Linked DNA regions of Chlamydomonas reinhardtii. The main gene of each other region encodes a partner of the protein of the gene in region 2 in a complex. Links are inferred from orthologs where the notes say so. Each region holds a gene or a part of one and is shown on either strand. Other genes may lie near its edges.

Region 1 (3,378 bases), on a different chromosome or scaffold from region 2:
GAGACCAACGAATGCTGCCAGGGCCAAACTTGGTTCCACAGACCTTACTGCTGCTGCAAACACTCCTTGCCAGAAGTCTAGCACTCCACGCACTGAGTCAAAACTCAGCCCAAGTAGATCCGCCTTACATGCTAGCAGGAAACTGCGCGAAGGCACTTACTCGCGCTCCAGCCGCCAGCTGCGGCCGCTGTCGAGCCTGACTTGGCCAGCACCTTGGAGTCGTACTTCACCTCCCGCCCGCCCTCCAGAAGGGCAGAGTAGTCCTGCGCCAGCTTGGGTAAAATCATGGGCAGGCCGCCCGTCCTGCAAACAGAAGGATTGTGCCTTGCAGATATGAGCAAAACAGCGGAAACATCATGGAAGCCTCAAGTTGCTCGTGCATCTCGTCCATCAGTGGCGCCAAAGCACTGTAGTGCTCACATGGACGGTGCAGCAGCCTTCGCCGCGGCAACAGCTGCCAGTGCGATCGCATCCAGAGCCGCCGCATGCAGGTCGGCACCCATGTTCGCCTGCATGCCCAGTCACACGTTACGATGTTGTGCGCAGCTCTTCATAATACGATGCCAGAACTAGCCTTCTCCAGTGCATACCTGGCGTGCGCTCTTGGAATTTATTTGCTCCTGGTTTGCTGAGCGGTATCTGCGCACTTGCGCCTCGGTGCGCTCGATATCCACATTGTTGGACAGCCGCCAAACTGTTGCGTGCACATTGGAAATACGTTCGCATTACGGAGGGACTGCTGGGTACGGGTCAGCAGGGCGCAGTGCAAGGTACCTGCGGATTGGCCTGTCCCCCTGTGCCCCATAACGCTGTAACTGTACTCAATATACGGAAACCCAGTTGTGCTGGTACTCAACTGATGTCCTCCACTTCTTCCAGGTAGTCATCGAACTTCTCCTTGCTGTCAAAGTCATCCCGGTCCTTGTTGTATCTGCATCCAAGCGAGGGCTTGTCCGTCACGCAGGCGCGCTGGGCACCAGCATGTCGGCAGTGCGACTCCCACAACCTACATGGCCAATATACGACGGCGCACTTTCAGCTCCTTTTCTAGGTCAATTTCCATGGTCAACTAGCAGGATGGCCCCACGAATATGGTGGGAGGGCTGCTTTGCGTTGGCACGGTGCGTGCACTCGGCACGGTGTTTGGGTGGCGTGGGGCGGGGTCGGCGCGCGTTGATACCCCCAAATGTCACAGACAGATTTAGGTTCCCATGCGTTGAATGGGTCGCTGACTCCCGTGAAAGCTATATTGCGATTCGCGCGGCAATGTGTGCCCTTCGCCGTGCGCAGACACGGTGTGCCAATTAAGATGAAAAACTGTAATTCCAACCATGTAATTTCATCAGTCGAATTGCACTGGGGAATGGAAAGGAGAAAAACAGAGTGCATGGGCTGCCCATTCCGTGAACTCTACCGTCTCCTATGCGCGCCTTGTGCTGTTATTACTGGATGTGCTAAAGACTACGCTGCGTTGTTAGAAGGAAGCTATCCGTTTTCGCTGTCCTGATTTCTTCTTGGCACAATGGCCCTCTCTTCTGCTGCCAACGTGGTCCGGTCGGCTGTTCTGCAGCACTTGCGCGTGACTGTGACCTCCAGCCTTCAATCGAGCTCTCTGCCGACCTTCACCAACATAATCAGCCGTGGCTTTGGTGGTGGCTTCCTGGACAAGGATTCCGTCACGGAGCGCGTGCTGCACGTCACAAAGCACTTTGAGAAGATTGATGCATCCAAGGTGCGTGGGCTCTCGCGGTCCTTGTACGTTTTAAGATGGCGCTGAAGCTCGTTGCCGCGTCCACCGACATGCATGCGCGCTAACCATGCGTTCATTGCATGCGCTGATCATTCTTAGGTGAGCCCGGCGGCCTCTTTCGAGAAGGACCTGGGCCTGGACAGCCTGGACGTGGTGGAGCTGGTCATGGCATTGGAAGAGGAGTTTGGCCTGGAGATTCCGGACGCTGAGGCAGATAAGATTGCTTCCGTGGGTGACGCTATCAACTACATCTGCAGCAACCCTATGGCAAAGTAGAGCAGCGGCGATGATGGCACGTTGCACGCGATGTGGAGCGCAGGGCGGCAGGGCGGCAAGGTTTGGCTTATGGCTTCAACGGTAGGGTAGGGGTGTTTCAGGGCTTGGGGTTTAAGCGAGGTTGAAGGGGTGAAAGCAGCTGGCCGGCAGCAGAAGTGAGTAAGAGTAGGACTGCAGCCTTGTTGGGTATGCCCCCACGGCCCGCACTGGCGGCTGAGTTGCCGCAGTTGTGCCAACTGGTTGAGAGTGCGTGTGTCGTGCCCTGCTGATGTGCGGAAACACCTTTCGTGGTTTCCCAAGATGGGAGTCATAGTGTTAGGTTCGTGTGGTTGTGACGAGCACCACCGCGTATGAGCATGAGCATGTGATGAACGGGTAGATGCGAGTTGTTTACGTGGACATAGGATTGGCATGTAGGCGCATGTACAACTGGCGCACGTTTACCTTCAGTGGTGTCCAGGTGGCTGTAACAGTACGGGGCACGCTCGGTGTGCGCATCCCGACCGCCCAGCCCAACCCCACGACAGGCCGACTGGGCCAAGACTCGGCTCGGCACGTGCGTGTGCTGTGCAGCTTTAGTGGTGTAACAGAACCGCTCCCAGTAGTCATGGGCAAGAGAGGAAGTTCACCAGAAGGGAGGGAGGCAGACTTGACGAAGGGCACAGTGGCAGTCAACGAAGGGAGCCGCTTAGGTCCAACTACCATCACCATTTGACGGACGTTGACCGCGGCAAACCCGCCAACCCCACCAACCACATGGCAAACAGGCGGGCCCTTGATAAGGATAGATCTTGCAGGCGGTGTCCGTATCTAGTAGATGCCCTGAGGCCTGCGGCTTGTAGCTGACCCATAGTCCCATACGGCAGTCCTGGCGACCCGGCGCGCTGGGATCGACAGTGCAATCCTGACCCCACGAGAATCAGACACGCCCATGCCCAGTTCTTCCTGAACCCCGCACGGCAAGGCCCGTACGGCGGTTGGGCAAACTTTGGACAAAGATTCTGACAAGACAGGCGACTGGTGTGGGGGGCAGGTAAAATTCAATTTCTTGTGGGACTTTCGTCCCAACCACTTTTGTGGGGTTTCTCCTACAGCCCACCCGGGGCAGCCCGGGGCCCACCCTTGCCAGCTCCCCTGCTCATACCAGAGGTTCAAAGCACGCCATGCAATCTCCCATGCCATCCGACATGCTCGCAGCCACCCGGTCACCGGCCATTCGCACCACGCCCGGAATCACGTCTCCTACCAGGATTTGCACGGCCACGCGCTATGTTGAAACATGCCTATCAACCGTACCCGGGCCTGTAGGTGCTGGCACGTCTGGGGCCACAATGCCATGGACACGTGCATTA
Region 2 (4,392 bases):
GCTTTGCCCCGCCGTAAAGACCTGCCCAGCCCCGGCGCCACAGCCCACCAGTCCACCATGCATGCAAAGGCCGGTGGCCTACACACGTGCGCGTGCGACACCGCTCGCAACATGGCGGACTGAGGTCACACCCACCTGCGGCGGCGTGATGGGCGTGAGCTGCCGCTGCAGTGCCGCCCCGGCTGCGCCGCCTTCGCGCGCTGGGGTGAGGGAGAACGGCCTCCGCTGCCGGAGCGGCTCCACCCTACAGGGTACAAGATGAGGCAAGAGCATAATGCTTGCACGCGCAACTGGTCGGAGGGTGGGACCGCGTGGCACCATGCACGCATGCAGCAGTACATGGCGACAAGCCAGGCAACAACACTGTCAGCACGGCAGAATACTTACTTGGCCGGCGGGGGCGCAAGCCCGTACAGCTTCCGCTTGTTGCCGGTCACGTTATCCTGACTGCATGCATGATGGCCACAAGACAGGACAAGCTACGTGGTTAGCAAGGAGCGTGGAAGCATGGACCAGGCCCCAACCCCCGCCGCTCTCTTGACGTTGCCACTCACACTCTCACGGCTGCCTGGGAGTTGCGCCAGCGGACCAGCGTGTCCAGGGCTCGCCCGCTGAACACCAGCGGCAGCAGCCACAGCAACAGCTCTGTGCACCAGGTGAAAGGGCATGTCGGCCCAAACAGGAACTACCTTGAGCGACACCGCACACAACCTCACCCCTGCGTTTCTTAAGCGTGAGCCCCGCATAGAGCGTGTCCCTCCCGCTGTGGTGCCCCACCCACGTATTGCTGCCAACGTGCAATGCGCTTCACCCGTCACAACCCCCACCGGCGCAGCATGCTTCCCAGTAGCTCTGGCCCGCGCTAACTGTGCTATCCCCCTTCCACCCTGCAGACGCCCCCCCTGTGTCGACCGGCTCCACTCCACCCCGACTCACGGAAAACCAGGCGCAGCCATGGCACTGGCAGAAGCGATACGAGTGTAGATCTGTGCGCATAAGAAAATGGGCAAGCTGTTTAAAAGAAAGCCCGTGGAGACAGCCACCATGGCGGGAACCCGTCCTTTGAGCTAGTTTGAGCGCCGTGTATATGACAGTCATTCGCTGACCTTGAATTTAATGCAGCAACCGAGATCACTGTAAGGAGCGCATCGAGGCCTACGCTACGAGCAGCTTTCGGTGTGCGCACCACAGGCGCAACGACCGTATTGGCCCCGCTAGGGTCAGTATTCCATCGTGCCATTCTAAGTACGCATAGTAAATTTTCCAGTCTGGGCAAACAAAACTAAACACAAAGGTTGGGGCCCCCATTCCCATGCACAGTGGACATTGCGCTGGGGCTTGCGCAGGGCTCGGACATCTAGTCATTTTATACTGCAAAGACTGCTGGAGCTCCCCACTTGGGTGCTGTGACTGTAGGCCTTGCCGATTGAGAGTTTGCCTGGCAGGCCAACCCAGGGAGTCCGCCCTGAGGAGTGTCGCGACTTAACGTTAGGTCATACGATTAGGTCATACTTGCTCAAGAAGCTGTAGCCATGTCGTCCCGACTTGCTCAGAAGGCAGTGGAGGTCGCGCACCAGGACAAGCGCCTGTTCGGGGGTGCTGCTCGGCATTTCTACTTTGAGGTGGGCTGCGATGCCATGGGAGCCATGCCCGGGGCTGCTGCTGCTGGCGTGGGGATGTCACGCCGAGTCTCGCAGAGTGGCATGCCCAGACCCTTAGCGAGGACGTGCAGTCAACAAGCACTGCCGGTTGCGTCGCAGATTTGCCGGTGCTTGCCGTTCATTCAGCGGCTGCACAAAATGGAGGAGATGGTGTCGCTGAAGGAGCTGCGTGCCATCGTTAAGGAGAAGTTCAAGGAGTACAAGGACGTCAAGGACGGGCGGGTGGGTCGCGCCCATGTTGCATGCACAGCAACCGAACGCGGGAGGACAGCGGAGTGGGGGGGTGGGACGGAGCGGGGGGGGGGGGTAAACTGGTAAAGGCGCAGCGGGCTGGGGCTGGGGCTGGGGCAGCGGTCTTGAGCAGGTGGGGCTGATGCTGAACGGGGCTTTGCTGTCGCCCGAATGCGTGCAGGTGGTGGACCTGCTCATCTTCAAGGGCCGCGAGGAGATTGAGGTGAGAGCCAAGATGCCGGGGCTTCTCTGCCAACCCTGTGGCCAGGGTGCTGGGCCTACATCGGGCGTGCCGATATAGCTCGTGCTGACTGGCGCCGTGGTGCTGACCGCGGACCGCCGCCTACTGCCGCCCCTGCCCCGCCCCCGGCGCAGACCTACCTGCTCATGCACAAGCAGCGGCACCACGTGGTGAGCGGGGCCCCGCCCTGGCGGCTGGGGACTGGCGCTGGTGCCAGGCGTGTAGTTGCTAGGTGGATGGGCAGCGCAGCTCACTCCCGCAGGGCGTTGCGGGCAGTGGCAGCGCAGCCTGAGCCGTGGGAGCGCCGCCGCTGGTGCACCACCCCCACACTCCCACTCCACTCTGACATACACGTGTATTGGGTGCGATTCTTGTTGGCAAACAATACTTCGCACGCACGGTGTCGGCCCCATTTTCCTTGCGCTTTCCTATTAATCATACAAGTTATACAACACACCGCCGCTACACAACAGGTGACGGAGGTGGTGGAGCCCTATTACGCCAAGCAGCGCGCGGTGAAGAAGGTGACCACGAACAGCCCCTTCCTGGACAGCTTCCTGTCGTCCGGTTACGCGGCCATTGGCGTGCGCAACTCATAAACGAGAACAGCGACAGCGGACAGGGCGCACGGTACAGCGCGGCTTCTGAGATTGAGGCGGCGACGGGAGTGAGCTATCTGGCTGGTGCTGGAGGATGTTGTGAAGGGTATGTGGGGAGGGTTTCCACAACACACCATTTTGGAGGCGCGCAGTGGCGTGTGGTAGTGGCCGCCGGCTGAAGCTAGGGCTGGTTGGTGACGGCTGTGGTGCTGGACGATTTACAGCTGGTCGGGCAAAGCCTGGCCGGCACTGGCTTATGATGACGAGATAATGAGTAGGGATTACGCATAGGCTTGTGTTAGCTGTTGACAGGGCAACGGCAGAGTGCTGCGTTGCTAAGCTGTCTGAGCAGGGAATTGAGGGATGTAGAGGCGTAGAGACACGTGCAAGCAGCTTACAGGATGACTTCGGCAAGCTTTTATACTAGCATTGATCACAAGAATGGACAAGCGTCCATGCATTAGTTTAAGCTGTGTTCACACTTGCAACGAGAATGGCTTGAGGCATGCCTAGCGCGCGTACGCGTAGAGCAGGTGCTGCGCGTATGGCATGCGCTGGTCGGGCGCAAACGCTTGCCCCGACGTGTGCTTGTGCGAGGTGGGGCTCTGCGGGCTGACGTTGTAAGCGTATGTATCAGCTGGTGTCACCGGAGTGGGAGCGACAGCAGGCCATGCGCTCGGTGACTGCTGGTGCGGAGCAACTGACTGCAGCTGCTGATACGGGCCTGGCGCTGGGTGGTACCCCATGGCTGCATGGGCGTGCGGCGACGGCGGCGCGGCTGTGTGGCTTGGGTAGGCGTAGAACGACATCGTGCCAAGCGCGCTCACCGACCCCAGACTTGCACGCAGTGGCTGCTGCTGCTGCGGCTGCAGCTGCTGCGTCTGATGCGCCGGGCTGGCAGCAAACTGCGGGTCCCCACTGTAGCCAGCCGGAGGGTAGTAGGATGCTGGCGGCGCAGCCGCCCAGTGGCCGAGTGTCTGCCCTTGCAGCTGCGCGGATGGCGGGTGTGACCAGGGCTGCGGCGAGGAGCGCGCCGGCGGCCCCGCCGTCGTGTAGTGCTGCGGTGAAGCCATCGCCTGCAGGTAGGCCGGCCAGTGGCTGCTGCCCGCAACCGGCTGACCGTATCCTGGCGTCAGTCCCACGTGCGTGCCGCCAGACGGAACCGACGGCGTGGAGTGCCACTGCGGCTGCGGCTGCTGCCCCGCAGGGGCAGGAGCTGACGGCGGCTGAGGCGGGGCGCTGCGCATATGCGTCAGCGGCGGCCCGCCCGCCATGAGGGATCCCACGGGCGGCCGCGGCGATGCGGGCGGCTGTAGCAGCATGCCGGTGCCCATGCCCACCGGCGACGAGGCGGGCAGCTGGTGGCTGTAGCCGCCACCGTAAGGGTAGTGCGGCGAGCTGACGGCACCCGCCCATGTGCCCTGTGCGTAGCCGTTGCCCCCGGCAGGGTATCCAGGCTGCGCACCAAGGCCAGGAGCACTGGGTAAGTACTGCTGCTGCTGCTGCTGTTGCGTGTGCTGTTGGTGCTGCTGGGGCTGGGCCGCGGCACCCGGGCTGCGGCCGCCACCGGCCGCACCTGTGCCTTGGGTCCGCCTCCGCTCGGCCTTGGCCGCACTGCCGCTGCGCTCGTGTCGGCGCCGGTCGGCGTGTCGGCTGTCTG

What was found.
Region 1: the proteins of CHLRE_12g555250v5 (region 2) and CHLRE_16g673109v5 are in contact, whole or in part, in a cryo-EM structure (PDB 8BEE), measured with the Arabidopsis thaliana proteins. The link is inferred for Chlamydomonas reinhardtii from reciprocal best matches to the Arabidopsis thaliana genes AT3G12260 and mtACP2. Residues at the interface, in NP_566416.1 of Arabidopsis thaliana: Phe27, Asp28, Phe30, Arg31, Cys34, Arg35, Arg56, Tyr57, Ser60, Ile63, Arg64; in NP_176708.1 of Arabidopsis thaliana: Phe61, Gln62, Asp82, Ser83, Leu84, Asp85, Val87, Glu88, Met91, Ala92, Glu94, Glu95, Glu100, Ile101, Asp103.

What each region holds. Positions count from the first base shown.
Region 1 is NC_057019.1:3,471,929-3,475,306, forward strand, and holds CHLRE_16g673109v5 (uncharacterized protein), read left to right. Parts: upstream 1-1,420; 5' UTR 1,421-1,522; coding exon 1,523-1,732; intron 1,733-1,849; coding exon 1,850-2,026; 3' UTR 2,027-2,625; downstream 2,626-3,378. Other genes in the region: CHLRE_16g672753v5 (uncharacterized protein), read right to left, coding at 161-303, 421-509, 591-694, 858-931, 1,011-1,063. UniProt on the Arabidopsis thaliana protein: Carrier of the growing fatty acid chain in fatty acid biosynthesis. May be involved in the synthesis of short and medium chain fatty acids.
Region 2 is NC_057015.1:7,575,330-7,579,721, reverse strand, and holds CHLRE_12g555250v5 (uncharacterized protein), read left to right. Parts: upstream 1-1,371; 5' UTR 1,372-1,532; coding exon 1,533-1,622; intron 1,623-1,760; coding exon 1,761-1,883; intron 1,884-2,073; coding exon 2,074-2,115; intron 2,116-2,267; coding exon 2,268-2,303; intron 2,304-2,606; coding exon 2,607-2,732; 3' UTR 2,733-3,927; downstream 3,928-4,392. Other genes in the region: CHLRE_12g555200v5 (uncharacterized protein), read right to left, coding at 136-244, 388-447, 555-645, 937-986, 1,107-1,240; CHLRE_12g555300v5 (uncharacterized protein), read right to left, coding at 3,985-4,097, 4,198-4,392. UniProt on the Arabidopsis thaliana protein: Accessory subunit of the mitochondrial membrane respiratory chain NADH dehydrogenase (Complex I), that is believed to be not involved in catalysis. Complex I functions in the transfer of electrons from NADH to the respiratory chain.